Macaca mulatta: one gene and its partners. The protein of the gene in region 1 interacts with the protein of each later gene in a pairwise test. Links are inferred from orthologs where the notes say so. Each region holds a gene or a part of one and is shown in the gene's direction. Other genes may lie near its edges. The genes, in order: KASH5, RNF146, UPK1B, JAGN1, BCL2L2, EMD and SENP2.

Evidence for each region.
Region 2: the proteins of KASH5 (region 1) and RNF146 interact in binary tests that used the Homo sapiens proteins (3 or more experiments, as listed by UniProt). The two-hybrid records come from large-scale screens. The link is inferred for Macaca mulatta from reciprocal best matches to the Homo sapiens genes KASH5 and RNF146.
Region 3: the proteins of KASH5 (region 1) and UPK1B interact in binary tests that used the Homo sapiens proteins (3 or more experiments, as listed by UniProt). The two-hybrid records come from large-scale screens. The link is inferred for Macaca mulatta from reciprocal best matches to the Homo sapiens genes KASH5 and UPK1B.
Region 4: the proteins of KASH5 (region 1) and JAGN1 interact in binary tests that used the Homo sapiens proteins (3 or more experiments, as listed by UniProt). The two-hybrid records come from large-scale screens. The link is inferred for Macaca mulatta from reciprocal best matches to the Homo sapiens genes KASH5 and JAGN1.
Region 5: the proteins of KASH5 (region 1) and BCL2L2 interact in binary tests that used the Homo sapiens proteins (3 or more experiments, as listed by UniProt). The two-hybrid records come from large-scale screens. The link is inferred for Macaca mulatta from reciprocal best matches to the Homo sapiens genes KASH5 and BCL2L2.
Region 6: the proteins of KASH5 (region 1) and EMD interact in binary tests that used the Homo sapiens proteins (3 or more experiments, as listed by UniProt). The two-hybrid records come from large-scale screens. The link is inferred for Macaca mulatta from reciprocal best matches to the Homo sapiens genes KASH5 and EMD.
Region 7: the proteins of KASH5 (region 1) and SENP2 interact in binary tests that used the Homo sapiens proteins (3 or more experiments, as listed by UniProt). The two-hybrid records come from large-scale screens. The link is inferred for Macaca mulatta from reciprocal best matches to the Homo sapiens genes KASH5 and SENP2.

Annotation. Positions count from the first base shown.
Region 1 is NC_133424.1:61,819,252-61,823,397, forward strand, and holds the start of KASH5 (protein KASH5), read left to right. Parts: upstream 1-1,346; 5' UTR 1,347-1,467; coding exon 1,468-1,549; intron 1,550-1,664; coding exon 1,665-1,769; intron 1,770-2,293; coding exon 2,294-2,480; intron 2,481-2,954; coding exon 2,955-3,019; intron 3,020-4,146. UniProt on the Homo sapiens protein: As a component of the LINC (LInker of Nucleoskeleton and Cytoskeleton) complex, involved in the connection between the nuclear lamina and the cytoskeleton.
Region 2 is NC_133409.1:32,293,843-32,298,013, forward strand, and holds RNF146 (E3 ubiquitin-protein ligase RNF146), read left to right. Parts: upstream 1-1,488; 5' UTR 1,489-1,557; intron 1,558-1,986; coding exon of another isoform or gene 1,987-1,987; coding exon 1,988-3,067; 3' UTR 3,068-3,671; downstream 3,672-4,171. UniProt on the Homo sapiens protein: E3 ubiquitin-protein ligase that specifically binds poly-ADP-ribosylated (PARsylated) proteins and mediates their ubiquitination and subsequent degradation. May regulate many important biological processes, such as cell survival and DNA damage response.
Region 3 is NC_133407.1:164,549,299-164,553,279, reverse strand, and holds the start of UPK1B (uroplakin-1b), read left to right. Parts: upstream 1-1,181; 5' UTR 1,182-1,443; intron 1,444-3,981. UniProt on the Homo sapiens protein: Component of the asymmetric unit membrane (AUM); a highly specialized biomembrane elaborated by terminally differentiated urothelial cells.
Region 4 is NC_133407.1:148,701,607-148,705,769, forward strand, and holds the start of JAGN1 (protein jagunal homolog 1), read left to right. Parts: upstream 1-1,363; 5' UTR 1,364-1,503; coding exon 1,504-1,592; intron 1,593-3,664; coding exon 3,665-4,127; 3' UTR 4,128-4,163. UniProt on the Homo sapiens protein: Endoplasmic reticulum transmembrane protein involved in vesicle-mediated transport, which is required for neutrophil function.
Region 5 is NC_133412.1:96,405,983-96,410,167, forward strand, and holds the start of BCL2L2 (bcl-2-like protein 2), read left to right. Parts: upstream 1-1,385; 5' UTR 1,386-1,619; intron 1,620-1,734; 5' UTR 1,735-1,822; intron 1,823-2,303; 5' UTR 2,304-2,311; coding exon 2,312-2,743; intron 2,744-3,362; coding exon 3,363-3,512; 3' UTR 3,513-4,185. UniProt on the Homo sapiens protein: Promotes cell survival. Blocks dexamethasone-induced apoptosis. Mediates survival of postmitotic Sertoli cells by suppressing death-promoting activity of BAX.
Region 6 is NC_133426.1:160,532,518-160,536,688, reverse strand, and holds EMD (emerin), read left to right. Parts: upstream 1-1,371; 5' UTR 1,372-1,469; coding exon 1,470-1,551; intron 1,552-1,674; coding exon 1,675-1,779; intron 1,780-1,944; coding exon 1,945-2,022; intron 2,023-2,236; coding exon 2,237-2,370; intron 2,371-2,824; coding exon 2,825-2,874; intron 2,875-2,958; coding exon 2,959-3,286; 3' UTR 3,287-3,693; downstream 3,694-4,171. UniProt on the Homo sapiens protein: Stabilizes and promotes the formation of a nuclear actin cortical network. Stimulates actin polymerization in vitro by binding and stabilizing the pointed end of growing filaments. Inhibits beta-catenin activity by preventing its accumulation in the nucleus.
Region 7 is NC_133407.1:97,766,956-97,770,455, forward strand, and holds part of SENP2 (sentrin-specific protease 2), read left to right. Parts: intron 1-730; coding exon 731-782; intron 783-1,452; coding exon 1,453-1,516; intron 1,517-2,697; coding exon 2,698-2,871; intron 2,872-3,500. UniProt on the Homo sapiens protein: Protease that catalyzes two essential functions in the SUMO pathway.

The DNA of each region.
Region 1 (4,146 bases):
GAGGCAGGAGAATTGGTTGAACCCCAGAGGCAGAAGTTTCAGTGAGCGGAGATTTCGCTACTGCACTCCAGCCTGGGTACCACAGCAAGACTCCGTCTCAGAAAAAAAGACAGCGAGAGGAGGAAAACAGACTGGGGCTAAAGCCCTGGTCTTCCCTAACTGTGAGTTCACACGCCCCTTCCCAAGGGCCAAACCTAGGAGCGTGGGTTCAAGCCAGAGGGAATGTAAATGTCATGCACTGCGAAGAACCCAGGAAGAGCTAGAGGGATGAGAAAGTTGACTCATATGTTAAACAGGGTGACCTTTGCTGAGTTCTTAGTTTCTCTATGCTTTGGTCCCCTCATTTGTAAAGTAGGGATTATAATAGCATCGATTATTAATATGCTACTAGACAGTTCATGTAAAGTGCCCAGAAAAGGCCAGGCACCTACTAAATGCTCAATAAGTGTTCAATTCTATTCTTGAGTCCCCACCACATGCCAGGCCCTCTGCCAAAGCCCTTCTAGATTTTATCTCATTTTCTCTCTAGGAAAGAGGTAACACCAACCCCATTTTCCAGAGGAAGAAACCGAGGCCCAAGAGAAGTTGAGTCCATTGCCCCAAGTGCCGCCACTTGTCTGAGGCCAAGCCTTAGTTACCCCTTGGATCTACCCAGTCCTGCAGCCTGTGCTCAGTGAGCTGCTGCACCCAGCTGTTCAAGGCCAGGGCAGGGAGCCTAGAAGGTCACTTCCAGCCCTGGGAGGGAGGCTGGGCCAGTCCCAGTGGCTTCTGCAGTTGAGGATCTCTTCCTATGTCATGGAGCATTTGTTGAGCACCCACTATGTGCAGGTGTTGTGGCTACAACAGTAGACAAATAAACCCCAGGACGTGTGTGTGTGTGTGTGTACACATGTGTGCTTCACATACACAGAGCTAACTCAGCCCTGGTGAGGAGGATCACTCTACCCACCCACCCCCCATTTTACCAGTAGGGAAACTGAGGTTCTGAGAGAACAGACTTGCCCACAGATGTGCAGCTGGACTCTGCACCCAGGTCTATGTGACACACGCATATGGTTTGATCCAGCTCATAGCCATTCCCTCACTGCCCACCCTGCCTGGTTTACCCCATCCCTTCATGTCTCAGCCCCCGGCCATGGGCTCCAATGATGCCAGCCTCGCCTTAGGGATGCAGGGAGGAGAGAGACCTGGTCCCCAGGGTGGGCTGGGAGACCGGAGATGCAGCAGGCGGGATCGATCTGGGCTGCCCACGCATTATTGGATTGTTCCTGGCTCCTGGGCCCCCCTTCACTCTCAGCTCCTCCCAGAATCCTCTCTTCTTTGCCCTCCCCCGCCCTGTCCTTTTCTGAGTCCAGCCTGGGAGGCTGGAGAGGAGAGGAGGAAAGGGTGATCTCAGAGTGTCCTTCTCTGGGCTCCTAAGCCAATTGGACACAAAAAGACAGCCGGGGGGACTTCCTGGTCTGAAAGATGGGGGGAAGAAACTCAGAGACCCTTACGTTGTTGCCCCCTCCTGAAGCTTCCTGCTGTTCCCCGCTGGCCCTAACTCTAGGTGCTCTGAGTGAATTCCCTCCCCTCTGCAGAGCCCAGGAGGCTGAGGACCTGGGGTCACCCCTCTTCCTTCCTCATTCTTCTCACTGGTGAGCTGAACCCTCTTGTCTCCCCAGTGTACCTCTGGGAGCAGCCTGAGGAGACAAGGCTGGGGATGCCGGTCAGCTTGGAGGAGCAAATACTCAACTCCACATTCGAAGCTTGTGACCCTCAGAGGACAGGTGGTGGGGCAGGAGGGGTGCTAGGGACCAGCGCGGGCGGGAGAGGGGTGGAGGCTGGGAACTGGGGAGCCTCAGGGAGAAGACTGGGCTAGGGCCCCTCTTGGGGGTATTGCAGGAACAAAGTAGGTGATTTTGGGAAGCTTCAGGAAGAAGAAAGTGGATAACAGAGTGAAGGCCTTTTAGAATGAGGAAAACCTGGGGGACATTGATGGAAGAGGGTAGAGTTTTGGGGTCGTGGGATGGGGGAGGGAGGCAGCCACCATGGTGGAGTGGGGCATGGCTGGTGCTGTCCCCATGTCCATCCCCTTTGGTTCACCTTGTGATAGGGGGATGACTGGGCCCCATTTCCAGGTGAAAAAGTAGACTCAGAGGAGGGGAAAGGGCTTGCCCAGTGTGTCTCCACTGGGCTATGGAGCAGGAGTGCCACCAGCCTAGCCAGTGACATCCTGCTCCCAAGCTGCTGCCAGTCCATACCCACCACTCCCCACTTGCCCCAGACCCCCTCACTGCATGCTCTGTCCCAGGCACTGTGGCTGTGACCCAGGTGCTGGCCTACCTGGAGGCGGTGACAGGCCAGGGCCCCCAGGATGCACGCCTCCAAACATTGGCCAACAGCCTGGACCCCAATGGGGAGGGCCCTAACGCCACTGTGGACTTGGACACTTTCCTGGTTGTCATGCGTGATTGGATTGCTGCCTGTCAACTACACGGGTGAGTCCCCACACCTTCATTCTCCTCTGGGAAGTCCTTCCTAAGATCTAACCTCATACCTGCTTACTGGAGCCAGCATCCTTTAGGCCCAAGGACCTACTGTGTTTGGAACGAGGCTGTGGAGAGAAAAATGAAGAGATGGGATTCAGAGGGGGTAGATAGGGAGTCTGAGGACAAAATAATTTGGATGAGGAGGCAGAGGGGGTCTGGGAGACAAATAAAATGGGGCTGGAGAAGGGAGGGGCTTGGGGCTGGCAGAGGTCCCTCGCCATCCCTTCACCCAACCCACTCCTTGCCCCTCCTGCTTTTCCATCTGGCCGCAGGCACTTGCCATCTGGCCTCACCCTCCTACCCTGTGGTGCCAGCTTTCACCTGACCCGGTCCCCTCCTCCCACCTGCAATCCCCCTGCCTGTGGCTGGTGAGGACTGAGGGGCGGCTACAGTGGGGCTCTAAGCCTCATCCCTTTGATACAGGGGATTAGAGCTGGAAGAGGAGACCGCCTTCGAGGGAGCCCTGACCTCCCAGCAACTGCCATCTGGTGAGATTGCTATATATAGAATGAAGCAGGCAGGCCCTGGGTCAGACAGTGTGGGAACTTACCACTCAGGGCAGAGCAAGGGATAGGGTGGGAACCAGGGACCTTTACTGTAGCCTAGAGCTGTGAGTGTGACTTTCTAGGTCCTCCGTCCCTTCCTTCCCTGAGCTTTGGGGTTTTTTTCTTCAGAGGATGGTTTCCAACTCTTCCTCCTCACACCAGCCCTATCAGAGAGGCCTACAAGGCCCCACCTACCTCTGCTCCATCATCATTAACATCACCCCCTCCTCACTCTAGTCCAGGCATTCGCAGGCCCACTGGTCTTGCTGCCCTTCCTCGAATGTGCCCCACTTCTGCCCAGCACAGGCCCTTGCTCAGGCTGTTCCCCTCCATTCCTCACTCCCCAACCCCCTAGCCTTTTTTTTTTTTTTTTTTTTTTTGAGATAGAGTTTCGCTCTTGTTGCCCAGGCTGGAGTGCAATGACGCGATCTCAGCTCACCGCCACCTCCGCCTCCTGGGTTCAAGCGATTCTCCTGCCTCAGCCTTCCGAGTAGCTAGGATTACAGGCATGCGCCACCACGCCCAGCTAATTTTGTATTTTTCATAGAGACGAGGTTTCTCCATGTTGGTCAGGCTGGTCTCGAACTCCCAACCTCAGGTGATCCACCTGCCTCAGCCTCCCAAAGTGCTGGGATTACAGGCGTGAGCCACCGCTCCAGGCCGTTATCCTTCACACCTCTGGCAAAGGGGAAGCCCTGGTATGCCCCTGGCTAGAGTTCCCTGCTTCCCATGCTCACTCCTAGACTTGTAGGCCTTTCCATTGGAACATCTACCTGCAAAGGAAATCTGATTATCTAGTTAGCCACCGGTGCCTGGGTTTAGTTGGCTGGTTTGCTCACCATTATATCCCCAGGACCTCACACATAGGAGGTGCTTCATAAAAAAGTGGTCATGGACCGGGTGCGGTGGCTCACTCCTGTAATCCCAGCACTTTGGGAGGCCGAGGCGGGCAGATCACGAGGTCAGGAGATTGAGACCATCCTGGCTAACATGGTGAAACCCCGTCTCTACTAAAAATACAAAAAATTAGCCAGGTGAGGTGGCGGGGCCTGTAGTCCCAGCTTCTCAGG
Region 2 (4,171 bases), on another chromosome or scaffold:
GGAATGTTAATTGGCTATTTAAAAAACATATGCCTTAGTTTGTAACTTATTGTTGCTTCAAGTTACAAGATCTTTGAAGGCAAGTGTTTATCTCAAAATATGTGAAAGCTTTTATAGTGCTTAACATACTAAGACGTCCTATTAGGGTTTATTTAGAACAAGCTTATCCAACCTGTGGGCGACATGCGGCCCAGGGTGGCTTTGAATGCAGCCCAACACAAATTCATAAGCTTTCTTAAAACATTATGTGATTTTTTTTTTTTTTTTTTTAGCTTATCAGCTATCATTAGTGTTAATGCATTTTATGTGTGGCCCAAGACAATTCGTTTTCTTCCAGTGTGGCCCAGGGAAACCAAAAGATTAGACACCCCTGACTTAGAACTTTCCATAGGTTAGGAAAAAGTTGTACTTTCTTGATGTCTATAACCTAGAATTTTTGGTAAAGGAATTGATTGGAAATGTTATTAAAAGTTGAAAATAATTTGGAAATTAAGCATTTTAGTGATCAGTTCTTCCACTGAAACTGTGTTGCTTCCTTTACTAAATATGTGCCATCTTTTTAAAAACTTAATGTGTTGCTTCCTTTACTAGAAAATTGCCATCTTTTTGAGCCTTGTCTATTGAGGAACCAAGAACACAGAAAAGGCTGTAAAAAGAAAAAAAAAAAAGGATTGTTTTAAGATTGGATGTGCTGTGATGATAGCCTAGGATTATTGTTTTTCAATTTTTGATGAGCGTAAGCATTGTTAGTGACTATATCTTTTGTAACTACTGGACCCATTTAGAATGGCAGAATTAGCTGGCACAAAGATTGTCATGCATTTTAAGCTTTAATCTCTCACATCTTCATCTTCATTTCTCAGTCTTCTTTACTTATCAGTGGTTTCCTCCCTCTATTATTTTCTCCCCTTTTAATTTTTTTTTTTTTTTTAACTATGGGGAAAAAAAAATTAAATGTTTCCTTAGCAGGGCACAATAAGGCTTTCATGACTTGGCTTTTGATTATCTTTACACCTTCATCTCCTGCTCTTCCATTGCTTGTATGACTATTTGACTCAGTGTCTTGCACATGCCTCTGCCTGGAATCTGCTCCACTGCCCAGGCCCCTCTGAATGAACACTAAACTTTCTAACCTATGTCCATCCTCTCATCTCTGTCTCTCTCATTGTTATTTTTGTAAGTATGTTAATACATTCTGATTATGCAGGAATCAGGCCATATTGTAATTATCTGCATATTTGTTTCCTTATTTAACAGAGTACTTGAGTGTCTTATTTATCATTAGACCCATCAGTACTTAGTATCTAGACCATGGTAGGTGTTTGGTAAACGTTTATCTGAATCAGCAAGGCAGAAATTATAAATTTTATGTCAGTGTTTAAGCTGGATACATCCAATTTGACAAATCTTTTTTCTTCCTCCTCTTCAGGGCATCTTCAATATTCATGTTATTTTCTCCCTTGGTCTTATGTGATTGTTACCTTTATGAAGCTTTAGTGATTACAAAGCACTTTTTTTGTTCATTTTTACCTGAGCTTTGTAAACTCTGATTTGCAGGTAAGGAAATTTAGACTAAGGGTTGAACTGCATGCCTAAGAGCACATAGTTAATAAAGAACTCTAAAACTCAGATTTTTAGATTTCTTGTCTAGCATTCATTTCACTGTATAATAGCTGCCATGATCCTTTTTCCCTCCACTGGATGCAGCTTTTCATTATATAGTTCTTCAGTGTGTTTCTCCAGGGCCGATCTGTAAGTGCACTGATGGAATTTTTATACATTCCCAAAGTATGTACAAGTAAATGCTTATAAAACGTTTTCATTGGTTGGAGAGTTTTTCTTCTACTTTCATCTTCATATCCCCATTGTCTAGAATGTGGCTTGCATATAATGCACATAATAGGTGGTTAGTATTTTCATAATTGTTGAATTAAGATATTGCAAGAATTAAAACATGACTTTAATATTTTATGTATTTTTTCTTAGGATGGCTGGCTGTGGTGAAATTGATCATTCAATAAACATGCTTCCTACAAACAGGAAAGCAAACGAGTCCTGTTCTAATACTGCACCTTCTTTAACCGTCCCTGAATGTGCCATTTGTCTGCAAACATGTGTTCATCCAGTCAGTCTGCCCTGTAAGCACGTTTTCTGCTATCTATGTGTAAAAGGAGCTTCATGGCTTGGAAAGCGGTGTGCTCTTTGTCGACAAGAAATTCCCGAGGATTTCCTTGACAAGCCAACCTTGTTGTCACCAGAAGAACTCAAGGCAGCAAGTAGAGGAAATGGTGAATATGCATGGTATTATGAAGGAAGAAATGGGTGGTGGCAGTACGATGAGCGCACTAGTAGAGAGCTGGAAGATGCTTTTTCCAAAGGTAAAAAGAACACTGAAATGTTAATTGCTGGCTTTCTGTATGTCGCTGATCTTGAAAACATGGTTCAATATAGGAGAAATGAACATGGACGTCGCAGGAAGATTAAGCGAGATATAATAGATATACCAAAGAAGGGAGTAGCTGGACTTAGGCTAGACTGTGATGCTAATACCGTAAACCTAGCAAGAGAGAGCTCTGCTGATGGAGCGGACAGTGTATCAGCACAGAGTGGAGCTTCTGTTCAGCCCCTAGTGTCTTCTGTAAGGCCCCTAACGTCAGTAGATGGTCAGTTAACAAGCCCTGCAACACCATCCCCTGATGCAAGCACTTCTCTGGAAGACTCTTTTGCTCATTTACAACTCAGTGGAGACAGCATAGCTGAAAGGAGTCATAGGGGAGAAGGAGAAGAAGATCATGAATCACCATCTTCAGGCAGGGTACCAGCACCAGACACCTCCATTGAAGAAACTGAATCAGATGCCAGTAGTGATAGTGAGAATGTATCATCTGCAGTTGTTGCACAGCACTCCTTGACCCAACAGAGACTTTTGGTTTCTAATGCAAACCAGACAGTATCCGATCGATCAGATCAATCGGGAACTGATCGATCAGTAGCAGGGGGTGGAACAGTGAGTGTCAGTGTCAGATCTAGAAGGCCTGATGGACAGTGCACAGTAACTGAAGTTTAAATAAAAATGTCTTCAGCTCCATGCTCAAGGTTGAAAAGGTTACCTGTAAATTTCTGCCCACATAACATTATACTCATCCCTAGTAGTGCATTTTGGGAGTTGGGGTGGGAAGGGGTATGGGAAGGATAGACCCGTAATCAAAATGTCTAACATGTCTCTGTTGAGAAATTTATTTAATGTAAGGAACTTGGGTGTTAATAGTTGAGAGCTGTTTAGTAATAACCCAGTTTTCTCGAGGTCTGTTTACTTTATAGTTTTTAAAAACTTCTGTAGTTCTTTTGGCCAGTGTGTTTGTATTATCTGTGCATTAATGGTCCTCATCTGACTCCTGCATTGTGTCTTATTTTTCTGCATGGATTGGCATAAGACCATTACTAAAATTTGGCACCTGTGAGATGTTTGATATTATGAGCAGGAAGCATAATTTAATGTAAGAATAGATGTGAATTTGGGATTTCAAAATAGATGAATAACTACTATTTTATAGTAAAGTTATTGATACGGAAATGAAAACAGCCAGTAACTTATGTTTCAGAATGTTTGTAACACACTTCATGGCGTTCCCATAGGCTTTGCTGTCTAGTCTTATAGTTTGAGGTTTTTCTGGTCAGCATTTTTCTTTTTGATTACAAAATTTATAATTTAATAAATACTAGAGTTTATCAAAAACAATTTGTCTCTTGTTTGAGTGTGGAAAGGGTGTGGAAACATTTTGACATTTGTGACCAAAGGTCACTTAAAAAGTGGTAGTTTTAATTGGTTGTTTTCAGCTTTAAATCACCTGCCCAGAAAAGTCTGATTTTTTTTCTTAAGAGATTATTTATTTAACAGATTATTATTTAAACAGAACCTATAGGCAGTGTGTATATAATAAATATATATGGAAATAAAATTAAAGCAGATACCATTAATATTTTATATTTTCCTTACCATATTCATTAGTAGTCTAACACTCTGGATTAAATGGCAGACTTACAGTGTTAGCAGACATGAATTCACTTTAAACAAAATGTTGTAGACCACAAAATCCACTTTTATTTGGTAGATTTTACATCTATGGCCAAATAGAAAATATTAGGTTGACACAGTAATCTAGAATTTACC
Region 3 (3,981 bases), on another chromosome or scaffold:
GTTTTCAATAAATATTTATTAAGTAAATGACTGAACTTATTTCCATGACATTAAATGTTTATCTGTGGTGTCATTTTTAACCATTGCACAGAATTCCATTGTGTGAAATATGATAATTTATCTAATCAGGCCCTGGAGAGCTGCAGAGGAATAAGGCATTGTGATGGACACAGAGGTGCTCCATGCAGTCCCCTTCAAGGGGGAGCTTGCCCTGCTGCTGGGAGTACTTGCAACCTCCAGCCTCCAGTTATCAGCCCCTTTCAGGACTTGCCTCAGCTACAGAAAGCTGCCTTCCCAGGGCAACCCACATTGAAGGGCAGATGATAGAGGAGCCCAGTGGCAGAGCTACATTGACAGGCCATCTTCCTCCAGAGTTTCCCAAGGGGGACTGCTTCAGACTGTCCCACCTATATTGCAGCTCAACTTCTTTCTCTGCCCAGTCCTGTTTCTTCCCTGTCCCTGCCATGGGTGTTCCTCTCAGGGCACTCCCTAATAAATATATTGAACACTAAATTTTGTCTCAAAGTCTGCTCCTGAACAATCTAACCTGAGACAGAGATGATGCTGACCCTTGAGGAACTCCCAAGTCTATTGATTAAAGCACTCAGTAAATTCTAACATTACTGCTGTTACCAACTCCTAACTCAGGTTAAACAAGCTATGGTGCATGTATACTACGATAGGTTATGCAGCCATTAAAATGATGCTCTGGGTGCCATGTATAACACATGATGGCTCCGGAAGTCAGGAAAGAAGGAAAAAAGAAAGGAAGGGAAGAGAAGAGAAAGGAAAGGGAGGAAGGAAGAGGGAAGAGAAGAATTGGACATCAGATAATCACTTGAGCCCTCTCTCTTTGCCTGAATTTTTCTCAATCTGTTTCTTTCCACATCTCTTGCTCCTTATTGGTCTTTGGGCTACCTACAGTATGAGCATTACTTGGGCAATGACTATTGCTATGAATTTGGCATATGCAAGGGTTATAGAAACTAAAGCTGGACATGGCCCTGCACAGGTAAGCACATATCATTATCTCTGTGAGCAGTCAGGACTAACAAGCCTTCAACACACAAAAGCAGGAGTAAGGATCAAATTACACTAATCAAATCAAATCAAAATAAAAGCCCTGAATTTGTATTCCAGTAAAGTCCAGACCTAGGAGGGATCTAGGAAAGCAATGAGTGTGGCTGTCAAGGTGCTTCCAGATGTCAGAGTCACACATTCCAAAGCAGCAGAAATCTACTGACAGTCTCCGGTTACTCCCCCGTCTCAGCGAGGCAGGGCAGGCAGCGGCAAGCTCAGCCCATGTGAGGTGCCTCCTGCCAATCACAGACCACCCTTCCCTGGTCCTGGAGGTTCAAAGGATTGCAGGAGGGTAGAAAAGCACCTGGGGCTGGTGCAGACTGCGGAGCGGGCCGCACCCTGTGTGCAGAAAGAGGAGGCGCTGTGAGTAGACTGCTTTCCCTCTACAGGGAATCCCGCGGGCTCAAGGGTTGGGTTGCTCTCCTGGGAGGGAAGCTAGTGGTCTGGGAGCGAAAGGGGAAGAAGTTAGATTCCTGATTCATAAAGTCTGTCATTTTTTTTCTTTGTAATTTAGGGTATTGTGACTGTCCTGTTCTCTTTTACTTTGAACCGTTCAAATTGCTTTCTTAAAACCTTTGATATAAGTCTTGTTCTGTTCTGGAGATATTACGCAGCCATCCTGCTTTCAACCTGAAATATCCCCAAAGAAAGAACAAGAAAATCCAAGCACCTGAGAAACCCCGTATCTCCTGATTAAATCGCACATAGACAGACACCTTTGTAGACCCCCAATTTCCTTGTGGAGTCAGAAAAGCAATAGAAAATTTAACGAAATAGCTCGTGTCATTTCTGAATAATCCGTTCAGGCTAGCAGAGAGAAAGTTTCTTGGTCTTCTTGTCAGAAATCATTTGGTCCTGCCAACTTGTAATGAAATGTGTGAGGCAATTTACTCCCAGTTATTCTCTGCAAACACTTCTGCTTAATAAATGTGTCAGTTGAAGTAAGTCAACAAAGTAGCTTTATCTATGCAATGTTATTTTTACATAATTTGTTTTTACTCCTTACCAATTCTTTGTTCCACAAGGATGTGCAGGACATAAAGATATTTTTCGTTCTAATGACATTTTCATACAAAATACAAATTTAAGTTTCAAATAATGCTAGTATTATTTTATGTTTGCATTTGTTTATAAACCTAAAACTCTATTTCTAACTAGTTTTAAAGATTTTTAAGCCATTTAAGAATTTATAGCCAGTTGCAGTGGCACATGCCTCCAGTTCCAGCTATTCAAGAAGCTGAGGCCATGGGATGAGGAGTTCTAGTCCAGGCTGGGCAACATAGTGAGATCCTGTCTCTAAAAATATATAAATAAATTTTTAAAGAAGTTTTGTTAACTCGAATGTCTTCTTTTAATGAAAGACAATGTTTCTTGACCATTTCTTGCCTGAGTTGCTAAGCACAACAGGAAATAACTCGCTAGGTTTTATAGATATATATATATACTTTCAGTATAAATAAAATTTAGGTTACATAGTTTTCAGACCCTGTGAAGAAGTGGATTTTCTTTTTATTAACCTTTTCAGTGAGGAGAAAAATTTCTTACTTTACTTTCGCTCCAACAGATTGTTTTGCTTTCTGCTATAAAATAGTCTTTAAAATCAACTCACCTATATATTTTTTTTTAACTGCTGGGAAGAATCATAGACTTTTACATTCAAAGGGGACCTTAGACATCCTTTAATCAAGGAGAAAAAAAAAACTCAGAACTGTTTTTGTTTTTTGTTTTTTGTTTTTTTGAGACGGAGTCTCTCTGACTCCCAGGCTGGAGAGCAGTGGTGCGATCTCAGCTCACTGCAAGCTCTGCCTCACGGGCTCACACCATTCTCCTGCCTCAGTCTCCCAAGTAGCTGGGACTACAGGTGCCCACCACCACGACCGGCTAATTTTTTGCATTTTTTAGTAGAGACAGGGTTTCACTGTGTTAGCCAGGATGGTCTGGATCTCCTGACCTTGTGATCCACCTGCCTCAGCCTCCCAAAGTGCTGGGATTATAGGCGTGAGCCACAGCACCCGGCCAAAACTCAGAACTTCTTTTTGACTTCTCCTGCTTACGTTCTTAACCAGAGTAAACACCAGTCAGCCTTTAAATATGCTCTGGAATTTGGGCCTGATAGCCATGCAGGCCGCCCACAAACTTGATGGGCCACCATTCGCCAACTGGGACAGAGACCACATTGGTGAGGGGCACCGTCATCACACACCATGCTCCCCGCCTCGTCCCCCTGCCCCAAGGATTCTCCACAGTACTCCTTTCCTGGAGCTGGGCATCCCTCTGGCAATGCCCACACCTGAGGCCTTCATGCAACTGAGTGCTCCTGAGCCATTGCTTACAGCTAGTCCCTGATTTCCAATAGATGGATGACTCCCATCATACTGGGAGCACCAGGAATCAAGAGTAGTGCTGTCCAGTAAAACTTTCTGTGATAAGGGAAATGTTCTAGACAATAGACACTAACCACATGTATCTGGGGAGTGCTTGAGATGTGGTTGGAGCAACTGAGGAACTGGTTTTTACTTTTATTTGAATTCATTTGACTTTGAATAACTGCACGCAACTACTAACTACTGTATTAGTGAACACAGGTTTTGAGCTTTAAAGCAAGAAAAACTTATGGGCACTGTGAGCCATGGGTGATGGCCCTAGGAGAAAGCTCCTCTTTTTGTTATTTCCAGGGACTTATCCTACCTTAAGTTGAAGCAGACCAGCAATTGTTGTGACCTACAGTCTCCACACCCATCTTTACTCTGAGCCACGCAAGTGTCTGTTCTTGTTCTGAGTTTCAGGGTCAGGGCTAAGGCAATAGCATATTGTGTTTCTTCGTTTCTTCCTCTCCTATTTTTCCTTTTCTTTTTTTTCTCCTTTGTTAATTCAAATTTCTCTAGCATGAACTAGAGTTTG
Region 4 (4,163 bases), on another chromosome or scaffold:
GAGAGACTTTCCTAACCCTCCAGGTCAGGGAGAGAGGCCTCATTTTTCCTCCCTCAGCCTCCTGTGTTTTCTTGTATTTCTTAGCTTCATGGGTACAAGTTCTTCCCCCGACTGGGCTGTGATCCCTCAGGGGAAATGGACCAAGTTTATTTCTGTGTCTGCAGGTCATAGCACAGTAACCTGGTGCATGGTGGATGCTCAGTATACATGCTTTTTTCTTTCTTTTTTTCTTTATTCGGATAACATAACTTCTTTCTTTAAAGTTTTGCTTAGTATTTTGTTGTTGTGGTAAAATGCACACAACATAAAACTTACTATGTTAATCATTTTTAAGTGTACGGTTCAGTGGCATTAAGCACACACATATAGTTGTACAATCAACACCACCATCCATCTCCAGAACATTTTTCATCTTCCCAAACTGAAACTCTGTATCCATTAAACACTAACTCCCCATTCCCTGTCCATCCCTCAAGCTTCTGGCAATGGTCATTCTACTTTGTCTCTACAGATAAAGTTTATTTGGAAATAATTTTTCTTTCATGGCCTTGACATTTTTGAAGAGTACGGTCCAGCTCTCTTCTAGAATGTCCCTCCGTCTGGATTTATGTCATTTCTTCATGATTAGATTCAGTTAGGTATTCTTCGGAGAAACATCTTAGAAGTCATGCTGTGTCCTCAGAATATTAAAAGAGGCACAAGATATCAGTTTATCTCATTATTGATCAAATTAATTATTTGGTTAAGGAGGACAAGCCAGATTTCCTCACTGAGAGGTTCCCGTTTTCTCTTTGCAATTATTAAATGTGAGAAACTTATTGTGAGACGGAGTCTCACTCTGCACTCTGTCCCCCAAGCTGGAGTGCAGTGGCACATTCTCGACTTACTGCAACCTCTGCCTCCCTGGTTCAAGCGATCCTCCTGCCTCAGCCACCCAAGTAGCTGGGATTACAGGAACCCGCCACCACACCCGGCTAATTTTTGTATTTTTAGTAGAGACGGGATTTCACCATGTTGCCCAGGCTGGTCTTGAACTCCTGACCTCAAGTGATCCACCCACCTCGGCCTCCCAAAGTGCTGGGATTACAGGCGTGAGACTGTGATGTCTGCTCCAGGGAAAGTCACAGAATGTATCAGTTTCCACCTCTGTAAAGTGTGGACAGAGGTATCCTAAACTGATACTACAGTTTAAGAAAGTAAAAGAGTTCAAGCGGCCTCTGAGCGCCAGCAAAAACACGCTGAGTCTGTGGATTAATTTCCTCCGCTCTCCACGGGAGGCGGGGCTGGGTGGGGCGGGGGCGAGAGGGAACAAGGGCGCCTGCGCTGAGAGGAGTGACCACAGAGTCGGTCCTCCTGAGACAGAGGGGCCGGAAGTTCTCTTCACAGAGTCGCGCGGCTGTGGTGGCGGCGCTGCGGCGGCGCAAATAGGGTCCGTGGGCCACTTGGCGCTGTCGTTGCGGTAGCAGGTCCGCGTGAGGGGTTCGGGGGTTCTGGGCAGGCACAATGGCGTCTCGAGCAGGCCCGCGAGCGGCCGGCACCGACGGCAGCGACTTTCAGCACCGAGAGCGCGTCGCCATGCACTACCAGATGAGGTATGAAGTGAGGCGAGGAGCACGGAGGTTTTCTCCCCGGCCGGAGCCTGCGGGGCTTGGGGAGCGACGCCGGCCCGGCCTCAGGGTCTTGCTCCCCAGCCAGCCCCCGCGCACCTGCCAAGTCCCCTCTTCCCGTGACGGCTTCAGGCCTGTCCCCCATCCTGGAAAGCCCCGTCGCCCCCGCGAGCTCCACCCCTTGATCCGCCCGGTGCCTTGAGGGGATCCAGCCCCGCGTGGACTCCCGAGTCACGTCGATGCTGGCCCTGCTGTGTCACCTTCGAAACCGAATTTCTGAGCCTCAGCTTCCTTATCTGTAGAGGGAGAGAATAATCTGCCTTTTAGGTTTTGGTGAAAGATTAATCAGTAATTCGTATAAAGGAAATAGCGTAAGGCCTACCGCGTAATATATGGTAGGTGTTATATTTTGGGCCGTTTGGGGGGATATAGACAGTAAAAGGCAGCCTCTCCTAAGGATGCCTTGCCTAAAATGAATTCTATAAACACTCCCACGTAAGGAGTATTTCTACATTCGATTACTAGTTCGACGGATACTGAACTTCCAACCATCATACACTGCTAGACACTAGGTTATAATAGCAAAAGCAGACATGGTCTTTGTATGCATGCTATACCTTCAATAAACAATTTTATTTAAAAAAAGAAAAGAAAAAAACTGTTCCCTGCCTTCATGGAGCTTGAAGTCTAGAGGTAACTTTTTTTCCCCCCAACTTTTCCACATTTTCTACAATAAATATTTTTAAATAAAAATTTTAAAATGTTTACTTCCTTAAACCCATTGACCTCTCCCAGAATGTTCTTCATATCTTTCTCTCCAGAGTTTTGAAGAAGGACAAGCTCTTTGAACCCTCATTTCTTTCACATCTCTAGGCCCCGGCTGAAGGGGCCTCACAACTTAAGCAGGTGTTTTCATGACAGCCCAGAGTGGAAACATTGCCCTTAGGGATATGAGGAGGATACATTTGGGACCTGAGAGAATTCGAAGAATAAGATAAGTGTGTACTTACTTTAGATGAAAAATCTGGCTGGAGAAGTATGGGCAGCCTGAGTACTTTTCCTCTCTGCCAATACCTTCCCCTCCAGGCTTTAATCCTATGGTGCAGTCAGAGTCCTCTTGCTAAACACAGCTCTGAGTTACCCTTCTGCCTTATTATTATTATTATATTATTATTTATTTTTGAGACAGAGTCACGCTGTGTCGTCCAGGCTGGAGTGCAGTGGCGCGATCTCAGCTCACTCCGCCTCCCGGGTTCACACCATTCTCAGCCTCAACCTCCCGAGTAGCTGGGACTACAGGCGCCTGCCACCACGCCTGGCTAATTTTTTTGTATTTTTAGTAGAGACGGGGTTTCACCGCATTAGCCAGGATGGTCTCGATCTCCTGACCTCATGATCCACCCGCCTCACCCTTCCAAAATGCTGGGATTACAGGCGTGAGCCACCACGCCAGGCTCTACCTCTTTATTACTAGTATTTTTTTTTTTTTTTTTAATAGAGATGGGGTCTCATTTTGTTGCCAGGCTAATCTCAAACTCTGGGCTCAAGCATTCCTGCCTCAGCCTCCCAAAGTGCTTGGATTACAGTTGTGAGCCACCATGCCCAGCCTCTTCTGCCTTTAACTCTCATAGCCTTTGTGACTTCATATCCCACTACTCCTCTCCCCCTAATAATATGTTCCTGCCACATGTAACCAGTTGCTTTCTTGGAACACAAATACTTGGGCCTTTTTGCTTGCATGCTCCTGCATGGGATGCCCATCTTCACTCAATCCTGAGGCTAGTTCAAATATCACCTGCCTCTAGATAGTCATCTCTGACATTCCATGCCAGGCAGAGTCGATTCCTCCTTCCTGTGGTCTCATATATCTGGGAACATATATTTACTAGAACTTTTTCACTTCATCTTCTAATTATTTTTTCCTCCTCTGCTCTTTGTGCTAGGCTTCTAGGCTGTTTTATTCAAATTTGTATCCCAGTGTCCAGTACAGTTGCCTGGCATATAGTTGGTGGTAAGAAAAATTTGAAAGGTACTTCTCCCTCTGCTCTGCCCCACAGTGTGACCCTCAAGTATGAAATCAAGAAGCTGATCTACGTACATCTGGTCATATGGCTGCTGCTGGTTGCCAAGATGAGCGTGGGACACCTGAGGCTCTTGTCACATGATCAGGTGGCCATGCCCTATCAGTGGGAATACCCATATTTGCTGAGCATTTTGCCCTCTCTCTTGGGCCTTCTCTCCTTTCCCCGCAACAACATTAGCTACCTGGTGCTCTCCATGATCAGCATGGGACTCTTTTCCATCGCTCCACTCATTTATGGCAGCATGGAGATGTTCCCTGCTGCACAGCAGCTCTACCGCCATGGCAAGGCCTACCGTTTCCTCTTCGGTTTTTCTGCTGTTTCCGTCATGTACCTGGTGTTGGTGTTGGCAGTCCAAGTGCATGCCTGGCAGTTGTACTACAGCAAGAAGCTCCTAGACTCTTGGTTCACCAGTACACAGGAGAAGAAGCATAAATGAAGCGTGTCGGACTGCGCTTTAGAGTGAAGCCTGGAC
Region 5 (4,185 bases), on another chromosome or scaffold:
CTCAAAATATGTTTTTACTTTTTTTTTTTTTTTGAGATAGAGTCTCGTTCTATCACCCAGTCTGGAGTGCAGTGGCATGATCTCAGCCTCCTGGTTTCAAGCGATTCTCATGCCTCAGCCTCCTGAGCAGCTGGGATTACAGGCTGGCTAATTTTTGTATTTTTAGTAGAGATGCGGTTTTGCCATGTTGGTCAGGCTGGTCTCAAACTCCTGGCCTCAAGTGATCCACCCGCCTTGGCCTCCGAAAGTGTTGGGATTACAGGTGTGAGCCACCAAACCCAGCTAGTTGTTACTATTATTGCTGCAGAAAAGACCTTACTTCTCAAGTGACCATAAGGGCAGATGGTAATACAGAGGCTTGGTTTGGAGGTAGAAGCAAAGGGTACTAGCAGAAGAGGAGAACTGGGTCGCCTCTTTCTGGCCTTTGGTTGGGTTGCTTTTTAAATGGAGCTGAAGAAAGTGCCAGATCCAAGAGCCCAGGGGGCTGGCTGTGAGTGCTCTCATGTGGATCAGCTGTGGTCAGATTGCTTCACACCTGTGACCCGCCCTGTATAAATATACTGCCATGTATAAATAATGGCCCCATGTATATGTAATCTGGAAGGATAAACATCAAGCTTAACAATGGCAACCTGCAGGGAGGGAAGTGGAATTGGGTGTGTATGTGTGTGTGTGTTTGAGAACCTGTATTTTATTACTCCATACCTCTTTATTGTTTGATTTTTTTCACAATGAGAATTAGTTCCTGTGTTGGGTAAAAAAAAAAGAAAAGAAAGAAAGAAAAAAAACCACTAAAATCAATCTGATTACAAAAGAAGATGAATTAAAGAAAAGTACCGGAAGAAACTGCTTGTGATCCAAGTCCTGGCTCCTTGATGCCTGGCTGAAGCCCAGCCCACAAAGACAACACTGGGTTAAAGGTCCTGGAGAAAAGATGGGAAAGGTTTGGTGTCTGTGTAGTGTCTGCTAGTCCCAAAAGGGTAAGGCACCTAGTAGACGGTTCCCAGCTTAATGGGAACTGCTCCTGTTTTCCAGGCACACAATTCAGGGCTGGAAAAGTTCAACAAGTGCATGGAACATCGGAAACCTCCTGGAAATGCTAAATTTGCCCCAAGATGTCCTGAAGTCCGGCATATTTCTCTGGGCAGCCTCGAGGCTCAGGAGCCCAGCCCAGCCCAGCCCACCGTGCCCTCTCAGGCAGCCCTTCACTGCCTTCAGCAGCCCTCCCTCTTCCTGAGTAGTGGCCCTTCGCAGGCCTGCGTCCCAGCCCCGCCCCTCTCTCTGGACGCATCTTTGGGCCCCATCATCACCCGGCGCCGGGCCCTCCCTCTGCCCCCCCTTTCTCCTCCCTCCTTCCTTCCCTCCCTTCCTCCCTCTCTCCCTCCCTCCCAGCTCCTGCACCAGGAAACGGCCCGGATCCCGGCAGCGGCCTGACCCGTGAGATCCCTAACCTGGCAGGCGGGCGGGGTTGGAGACTGGCTGAGGTGGGGGTAAGGGAGGAGTTGGGCCTTTGGGCTGCACTAGGGGGAACCGCGAATACAGATGGTGTCGGCAGGAAGCCCTTGGCCCTGGGTTTCCCGGGAGGACAGTCATTAAACATGGATTCGGCCACACAGCTGGTAGAGCGTTGGGGGCAGGGGCCCAGGCCCAGAGCTGCAACCCTAGCCGTTCCCAGGCCAGAACCTGATCCCTGGCCTTCCCCTCCTGGTTCTGATCTCCCCCTCCCCTTTCCAGAGCTCCACGCTGGCCGGGAGGATGAAAGGCCCCAGCTGGGGGCTCCTTGCCACCAGTGCTGTGTCTTAAGAGCTGCCATCCCGGCTGGGTGAGTGTCTCCTTCCTTTCTCTGTCTGGAGTAAACCATTGCGTCTCCCACCTTTCTCTTCGGCCCATCTGCTCCCCCTCATCTTGTGCCTCTGCCAACATCTTTATATCTTGCATTTGGGGAGGTCCTAAGCCCCTTCCTCTAGCCAAGGAGGTGTGGACTAAGGAGGCCCAGGGGTGGGAGGGTTGTAGGGGTGTCACAGAGCTGACGTTGTCTTATTATGAAAAGAATCTAAAGTATCTCTAAACAGAAAATGTACTTGTTTTAAATGTAATTTGGCATATTAGGAATGTAATGGCCAGCCCCTCACAGCCTGGTCTCATATCATGACTTAATTCCCTTGTTCTTGCCTCTCCCTGTCCAGTGAGCTCTGAGCATTTCTTCTCTCCTCCTCATCTCACTGGGTTGGTCAAACCAGAAATGCCCCTTCTGATTCTCTCTCCATATATTCATGCCAGTGTTTCATCCTTGCCTCTTATAGCTGCCCGGATGGCGACCCCAGCCTCGGCCCCAGACACACGGGCTCTGGTGGCAGACTTTGTAGGTTATAAGCTGAGGCAGAAGGGTTATGTCTGTGGAGCTGGCCCCGGGGAGGGCCCAGCAGCTGACCCGCTGCACCAAGCCATGCGGGCAGCTGGAGATGAGTTCGAGACCCGCTTCCGGCGCACCTTCTCTGATCTGGCGGCTCAGCTGCATGTGACCCCAGGCTCAGCACAGCAACGCTTCACCCAGGTCTCCGATGAACTTTTCCAAGGGGGCCCCAACTGGGGCCGCCTTGTAGCCTTCTTTGTCTTTGGGGCTGCACTGTGTGCTGAGAGTGTCAACAAGGAGATGGAACCACTGGTGGGACAAGTGCAGGAGTGGATGGTGGCCTACCTGGAGACGCGGCTGGCTGACTGGATCCACAGCAGTGGGGGCTGGGTAAGAAGCTTCTCAATTGCCGCTCTGCACATCCCTCTGCAAAGCTGGTTTCCAGGGGGAAGATGGGAGCTCTGATTGGAGACTGAGGCAGCTATGTTGGGAATGAGGTGCGGGGCTGAGTCTCCCCGTCTGGGTGGAATCAGATTGAGAGATGCCTGGACTCTGCACTCCAGGGCTGCCATGCAGTCAACACTGGATGGGCTCATGGTCCCAAGCAGAGGACAGAATCCACACCCAAGGAGTGCCTGCAGGGGAATGTTGTCAGGGACTTTTTGCACCTGAGTCATGGTGTGGGAGGTGGGGAGGACCAGGGATGGGTGGTGGTCAGGCAAGCCTTGGCAAAGGATGCTAGTTCTGAGCAGAATTTTTCGCCAAGGAAAGGATGGAATTCACTGGAGGCAGAGTGGGCGGCAAATGAACCAGTCTCTCAGGGTGGGGGTGCACCTGGGGGGATCAGAGGGGCTTGCAGCCAGAAGAGCTTTGACCAGAGAGGAGCTGGGTATGGGGTAGTGTTGGCAGTGGATGGAACTGGAACTCTTCCTCTCCTCTTCTGTCCACTCTTTCCTCTCCTGATATCCCTTTCTCCTTCTTTCTCTCCTACTTCCCTTCTCTCCCACAGGCGGAGTTCACAGCTCTATACGGGGACGGGGCCCTGGAGGAGGCGCGGCGTCTGCGGGAGGGGAACTGGGCATCAGTGAGGACAGTGCTGACGGGGGCCGTGGCACTGGGGGCCCTGGTAACTGTAGGGGCCTTTTTTGCTAGCAAGTGAAAGTCCAGGGCCAGGTGGGGCTAGGTGTGGCTGGGGGCCAGGAGAGCAGGAACAGAACAGAGAAATGCCCTTGGAAGAAATGGAGTTGGTGGATGGGTGGGCATGGAACAGGATGGGCAGGGGAAGGGTAGTGTGTGAGGCAGCTGAGTAGGCCAGGTAGGCGATTGGAAGAGTGAGCAGGACACATAGGTGAGGGAAATGTTTTGGCAAGTTTAGGGACGCAGGAGATGGAGTCGATCCAGGGCTGGGGGATGTGGGAGGGATCACACCTATAGGTGTGGGCACATGAAATGACCTGGAACTTGGTTTGCAGCCCTGAGGAAGGTGGACTTGCATAAGCAGTTGTATTCCATTAGATGAGTGGGATTTGGGGAACGCAGAAGGCACATCCTTTTGGAATGGAAGCTTGGGGGTTCTCAGGTGATAGGGAGAGGTGGCTGTAACAGTGGGCTGCTTGGACACACGTGTGCATGTGCACGCATGCTGGTGTGCATGCTGGGCTGCCTGGCAAATCTGGTGGTGGTGGGATTCCTCAAGGAGAAAACATTCCCTCTTGCAATGGCAAGAACTAGGGGCAGTTCTCTGTCCCTCCTCCCAACCCCTCCTTTCCCCTGCCCTTGTCCTGATGCCTCAAGGCTTAGAGAGAAACATTGTATCCAGACCGAGGGCTCTG
Region 6 (4,171 bases), on another chromosome or scaffold:
GCCCCCTGCCTAGACACGCTGCCCTCAGGGACTATTCCGACAGGAGAGGACGCCCCGCTGCAGCTCCCCCCAGTGCCCCGGGTGAATGAACGGCATGAAGGATTAGGCGGGCACACGTTGTCTCTGTACGCATCGCACGGCGCCCTCTGCCCGCGCCCACTGGCGTGCCCGTCGGCATGCCCGGGCCCCTTCGAAGGCTGCTTGCTTCTGGAGTGCCAGCGGCCTCCTGGCCCAGTGCCCCATTTCCTCCCGGGTAGAGTGAGGGAGGAGGAAGGGAAGCAGAGAGGTAGGCGGTGGGAAGCAGCAGGCACATGTGCGCGGGCGAGAGCCCTGCAGACTGGGAAGAAGGGCCCGTGGCAGGGGGTCTGCGGAGATCCCATAGGCGCGGGCCTTGCCCCGCAGCCGCTTCCCGAGCAATGCGCACACAAAGCGCCCCCGGCAGTGCCTGGCCCCGGGCCCGCGCTCTCTTAGGGTCCGCTGCCGGGGCGGCCGACCGGGATGCGGCCGGGAAACCCTAGGCTCTGGGGCCCAGGAAAGGGGGGCGACGGCGGGGAGCAGGGATGTGCAGGGACCGGGCGAAGTCCAAGTGACTTAGGGACCAGAGCCACCCCAAGCGCCGACTTCGCCCGCTCGCACGTCCCGGGTCCCTAGCGCGCAGGCCCCATCCCTCTCACCCGGCTGGCTCAAGCGCGCCACAGGGTGACGTCTTGGCTCCCAGCCGTGTCGCCCTGACTCCCGCGCGGGCCCCGCCCCCTGCCGCTAGCCAATCTATGCGTTTGTGACTTTTGGGCCCGCAGCCCCGCCTACTCCCACTGCGATACCAGTTTGCATTGCCCTGACTCCCGCGCGGGCCCCGCCGCCTACGCCGCTAGCCAATCCGTGCGTTAGTGACGTGTGGCGCCCCTCGCGGCGCGGCTTGCTCCCACCGCGAGACCTTCTGCCCCGCGCCCGCGCGGGCCCCGCCTCCTCCATCGCTAGCCAATCCCCATGTTTGTGACGTAAGGGCTCTCCGCTCCGCTCGCTCCCAACGCAAGACCTTTTGCTCCGCGCCTGCGCGGGCCCCGCCCCCTCCATCACTAGCCAATTCCCGTGTTTGTGACATATGGGCTTGCGGCCCCGCCCGCTCCCACCGCGAGACCGGTTCCCACCACCCTGACTCCCGGGGGCCCGCCCCCTCTGCCGCTAGCCAATCCGTGAGTTGATGACGTTTGGGCTCGCGGCCCCAGCCTCCCAGCTCTCAAGGCCCGGCCGGTCTGTGCCGGCTACTCCCGCCGTTAGGTCCCGCCCAGCGCAGCGCGCGCAGCCTGCGAAGCCAGCGGCCGTGACGCGACAGCGATTCGGCTGTGACGCGAGTGCGGCCGCTCCCGATGCACTCGTGCCGCCCCCGCCGTGCTCCTAGGCAGCCGTTGCTCGGCCGGTTTTGGTAGGCCCGGGCCGCCGCCAGGCCTCCGCCCGAGCCCGCACCCGCCATGGACGACTACGCAGATCTTTCAAATACCGAGCTGACCGCCTTGCTGCGCCGGTACAACATCCCGCACGGGCCTGTAGTAGGTACGCGGCGGCGGGCGGGACCCCTTCCGGGCCCCCTCCTCGTGCTCCGCCCCGCGACCTCCCCGCTGCCCTCCCCGCGCCCCTTCCCCGGACCGCGGCCCTGACCGCCCCGTGTCCGGCCAGGATCAACTCGTAGGCTTTACGAGCAGAAGATCTTCGAGTATGAGACCCAGAGGCGGCGGCTCTCGCCCCCCGGCTCGTCCGCTGCCTCCTCTTATCGCTTCTCTGGTGAGAGCCTCGCCTGTGGGGACGGCCTGGGACGCGGGGAGGATGAGGTAGCGAGGGTGTGGCAGGGGTGCCGGTCGAGAGCGGCACTGGGGAAAGGGGAGGGAAGTCTTGGGGTGGGGGTGGGGGTGGGGGGGCAAACAGTTCTGTCTCCTCCTTTCAATCCAGACTTGAATTCGACGTCAGGGGATTCAGATATGTATGATCTTCCCAAGAAAGAGGACGCCTTACTCTACCAGAGCAAGGGTAAGGCAGGGGTTGGGTGGGCACGCTGGCACCTTCACCCGACTGCGTCAGGGACCCCGCTCACAGGGAGGACCTGAGACCTCAGTCCCAACCACTCCAGCAGCCTTAGGAGGGAGAAACTGTCACAGGTCCCGAAATGGGATTCAGATTAGGGCCATCGGGCCAGGCGGGGCACACCGATGCCCCCTCTGCTACCGCTGCCCCCCTTCCCAAGGCTACAATGACGACTACTATGAAGAGAGCTACTTCACTACCAGGACTTATGGGGAGCCCGAGTCTGCGGGCCCGTCCAGGGGCTTCCGCCAGTCTGTGACTTCACTCCCAGATGCTGACACTTTCCACCACCAGGTGAGCTGGTTGGCAGGCGTACTGTACTTGGGTACAACCTAGGGGATCGCGGCTGTGTTTGGATAAATCCAGGGGGCCACTGGGTACAAATGGTGGCCCTTGGGCCTCTGGGGAGACTTTGGCTCAGCAGACACCTGTTTGGTCAGGGTCCTACTTTGGGGAGCCCTCAGAACTATGTGACTAGAGCACATAGGATGCGTCCTGCACCCTGGTCTGGGATCTAGGCTCCAGCTCTTCCTGAGAGTCCTGGGGGCAAAGGGGGGTGCTGGGGCATGAGCACAAGTAGCAAGGCCCCATGGATAAAAGGCCGAACACCCAGAGTCATTCAGGAGGGTGTGGGTCCCTGGCCTTTAACCAAAGGTCAGAGGGGACCTGCTGGGGAAATTTGAGAGGGACGTGGCAGGGCCATTGTGGCCCTGCCAGCCAGTTCCCTCACCTTGACTCTCTTCTACAGGTACGTGATGACGACCTTTTGTCGTCTTCTGAAGAGGAGTGCAAGGATAGGTATGTATGTATGGGGAAGGCCAGGGACAGGGGCTGGTTCTGGACCCAGGCTCCTGGCCCACCTGTTCCCCTCTTTTGCCTCAGGGAACGCCCCATGTACGGCCGGGACAGTGCCTACCAGAGCATCGCGCACTACCGCCCTGTTTCAGCCTCCAGGAGCTCCCTGGACCTGTCCTATTATCCTACTTCCTCCTCCACCTCTTCTATGTCCTCCTCATCATCTTCCTCTTCATGGCTCACCCGCCGTGCCATCCGGCCTGAAAACCATGCTCCTGGGGCTGGGCTGGGCCAGGATCACCAGGTCCCACTCTGGGGCCAGCTGCTGCTTTTCCTGGTCTTTGTGATCGTCCTCTTTTTCATTTACTACTTCATGCAGGCTGAGGAAGGCAACCCTTTCCAGAGGGAGCCATGAGGGTCTGGGCTTCAGAGCCAGGTCTTCTGGGGAAGTCCTGGCTGACTGCCTTAGCAGTGGGGGTGGGGGTGGGGGTGGGGGCAGGGGCAGGGGCAGGGGCTTTTATGTGTTCTTGCTTGGGGGGCGCTGGGCCTAGCCCAGAGTAGTGCTTGCTCCCCCTGCCTTGTCCCACCAGGGAGGCAGCAGATTCAGGCCCTCCATGGGGGCCTGAGTGTGCTTTCCTCGGCAGCCTCCTGGCCCTGCTTGCCTGTAACCCTTAGGGTCCAGGAGGGCAAGGCCTCGCTCAGTCAGAGGAGAACATGGTTCTTGTTGTCATGCATGCCTCCTTTTTGTCATCTTGTTGGGGGGGATTAACCAAAGGCCACCCTTTGTTTTCGTGGACACACAATAAAAACCCCATTTATTTTTAATGCGTTGGCTCTTCCTGGAGGAGAGGGTTGGGCTCCCATGGCAAGGGCCTCTGCGTCTTGGGACTCGAGGATTGCAATCTGGCTTTGTTGGGTCCGCATTTTTGCTTTGGTCTGGGGATAGGAATCAAATGCTACCCAGAGATGTTTGTGTTTTGTTTGGGAGTTTTATTCCCTAACTCATTCCCCAAAGCACCTGTAACTGCTTATACATATAATTGTGGTACAACAAGGCGTATACAGAGAACCCACTTAGAAATTCAGGCAAAGCAGCCGGGCGCGGTGGCTCAAGCCTGTAATCCCAGCACTTTGGGAGGCCGAGGCGGGCGGATCACGAGGTCAGGAGATTGAGACCATACTGGCTAACACAGTGAAACCCCGTCTCTACTAAAAATACAAAAAAGTAGCCAGGCAAGGTGGTGGGCGCCTGTAGTCCCAGCTACTCGGGAGGCTGAGGCAGGAGAATGGCGGGAACCCG
Region 7 (3,500 bases), on another chromosome or scaffold:
GCCTGTAATCCCAGCACTTTGGGAGGCCAAGGCAGGTGGGTCACCTGAGGTCAGGAGTTCAAGACCAGCCTGGACAACATGGTAAAACCCCATCTCTACTAAAAATACAAAACTTAGCCAGGCATGGTGACACTTGGCTGTAATCCCAGCTACTTGGGAGGCTGAGGCAGTAGAATCGCTTGAACCTGGGAGGTGGATGTTGCAGTGAGCCAAGATCACACCACTGCACTCCAGCCTGGGCGACAGCGAGACTCTGTCTCAAAAAAACAAAAACAAAAAAACCTCACAGCATTGACTGGGGCTTATCTAGGAGTTTAGTAGAACAGCTGTTTCAAGGTGAAGTAGATTCATAACATGGCTCTGGATAATTATCCTTAAGCTGCTAGATAGTAGCAACTCTTTTGTGAGCTGAAATTTTATTATATTCCCTATATAACAATTTCCTTATATTTCTCCACTTACTGTCCACTAAATGACAGCTTACCAAATGAGCAGATATCACTCAGTTTATAGTAAAGATTATATTTAAACAACAAAGATATGTAGCAAAGATATGTATGCATTTTTTTAGGCAACTTAGTGTATAGGGAGGCTAGTGTCTTTGGAATTCACTGTAGCATTTCAATGTATAGGAATGTCTTGACATTGTGGAAACTCTGTAACCTGAAATTCTAACTATATTATTCATTAATGAAGGAAACATTTAATCTTTTCTTTACCATCCTCACAGATAGACTTGTTGAAACAAAGGGACCTCTATGTTCATTGAGAAGTGAAAAGAGGTACGTATATTCAGTTCATTCTTTTAATATATATTTTCTTATTTTCTAAGCCATATTTATGAGTAAGCAGTTCTGAGGAACTGTGAACTCTCTTGAGTTCTGGTAGTTGGTCAGCATATTTAGGTAGATAGGTAGCTAGCTCTTGTGTCAGATGCCCACCCTAGCCTGGTGGGTTGGGGGGTGCCCTTTATCTCTCAGGCATCAGTGGTTGGGAGAAACACATGCTTCTTAGATGGGAGTTTGGTTGGTGTGGGGATGTCTAGTGATCAGTGTTTTTAGGATAGGAACAGTAAAGGCAGCTCTGCATGCTTTAGGATTTTGGGATGATGGTTTACAGCAGAGTTTGTAAACTATGGCCCATGGGCCAAATCTGGTCTACTTACCTATTTTTGTATAGTAAATTTCTACTGGAACATGCGAATTCATTTACACACTATCTATGGCTGCTTTTAAATTACAGTGGCAGAGTTGCCACGATGTGCCCAAGACCATAAAACCTGCAAAGCCTAAAATACCGTCTGTTCCTTTTCAGAAAAGTTTGTCGACTCTTGGTTTAGAGTATTGTATAAACTCAAGGCAATTTTTATTTACAAATTATGAAATCTTATTTCTAAAACTAGGATGTAAGTCATCTAGCAGAAGTCTGTCATCTCTCAATTTGTTTCCTTAGGTGTTCAAAGGGGAAAATTTCTGATACGGAGAAGATGATCGGAATTAGATTTGAAAATGAAAGTGTAAGTGAAAATCCCCGTTACATTTGATATCTGTGTTCTTACATAACTTATGTTTTGGTGCCCATGAAAAGCAAGAAAAAGTATATATATATGTGTGTTACTTTGATTGTTAATTCTGTTGTTTTTCTTTAAAAAAGCAGCAAGCCAGCCAGGCACAGTGGCTCATACCTGTAATACCAGAACTTTGGGAGGCCAAGGCAGAAGGATCACTTGAGCCCAGGAGTTTGAGACCAGCCTGGGCAACATAGTGAGACTGTCTCCACAAAAAAATTTAAAACTTAGCCAGGCATGGTGGCACATCTGTAGTCCCAGCTACTCGGGAAGCTAAGGTGGGAGGATCGCTTGAGCCCAAGAGGTCAAGGCTGCAGTGGGCTGTGATCACACCACTGCACTCCAGCCTGGGTGACACAGTGAGACTCTGTCTCCAAAAAAAAAAAAAAAAAAAAAAGGCAACAAAGCAACAGGAAACATTGAAAATACACAACTTTTTTCTGCCTTCTGAGTTGTTGGAGTTTTGCCTCTACAGTAGCCACCTTTGTTTATGAGAGACCAACCTGCCTCCATACCAACACATTACCTACATTTTATGGCTTCTTAGGGAGAATTTCTTAAAAGTCATACATCTCTGGAAAGAGATGATATGTTCTGGGGTGCTGGCAGAATTCTATTTGTTTACCACAATTGTGGTTATATAGTTGTTCATTTTACAAAAATGAAGTAAGTGGTATGTTAATGTTTTGTGCATTTTCTGTCATATAAAATGACTTTTTACAAGGATGAACTAGAACCAAGTTTAGTTACGGTAAAGATAGTAGGGATTTATTCTGAGTGATGGGATTGTGGGTCATATTTTTTGCTGTTTAAAACTTTCATAATATCTTTTAAACATACTGTTTTTAATTGTGATAGGAGAACTGAAAATACTTTTCTTGCTACTTCCAGGGAAGGTGGTGAGTGTTCTGTTTCATGGTTTGTAACTGAGGGTCCTGTGAGGCCTAGGTCTGGAGCTTTTTTTGTTCCCCCTTGCAGGGACAGACAGATATGGTAAATCTACTCACTTGGGGGATTTGCTAATTCTCTTTTCTTTCACATTAGTGGCAGTTTTATATTTCATGTGTAATCCGTGTTTATATTTGCAAGTATCAAACATGTCAGTAGAATTTAGATACTTTTTTGATCAGAGGAGGGGATACCAACTGGAGCCCGACCTATCAGAAGAAGTGTCGGCCCGACTCCGCCTGGGCAGCGGAAGCAATGGCTTACTCAGGAGGAAAGTGTCAATTGAGACAAAGGAAAAGAATTGCTCAGGCAAAGAGAGGGACAGAAGAACGGACGATCTCCTTGAACTCACAGAGGTATTGTTCTTTGTATTGATCCTAAAAAGAGGCATGTCTTTAAATAACCTCAGTTATTCTAAACTTGAATATTTTGTTTTGAGGACTTTCTCCAGACTAGAGATGAATGTATGAAAACAAATCAGGTCCATAGTCTGTTTATTCACTTTGACTACATTGATCTTTAGTGAGTCATGATCATTAGTGGCCTAAGGGATCAGATTGATATTTAGCAAATGTGAGTCAACACAATCATCTCATATCTTGGAATACAACAGATTCTTTGTAAATTCTAACCTTCAAATATGTTGAGTTATATAGTATGGGTTTGGTATTAGGAATAAGTTCATTGCATTTTTTAAAAAAGTGGTTACAGTTTACTAAAATGCCCCTTTTGCTGATTATTGCATTTGAAAATAATAAAAACTTACAGAACATGAAGAATGAAGGTAGTTAAAATTCTTAAAGATGTGCCACATCTTGGCTTCCTCTACAATGTTGCCCTAGTAGGCAAATCTCTTGAATACTTACTGTTATATTGGGCATGCAGGTGGAGAGAGAGAGAGATCCATAAAATAGTGAAGCTGTGTGCTGGGGGAGGAAGCATATATTTAGAAGAAAATAATTTCTTCTTTTTTTTTTTTTTTTGA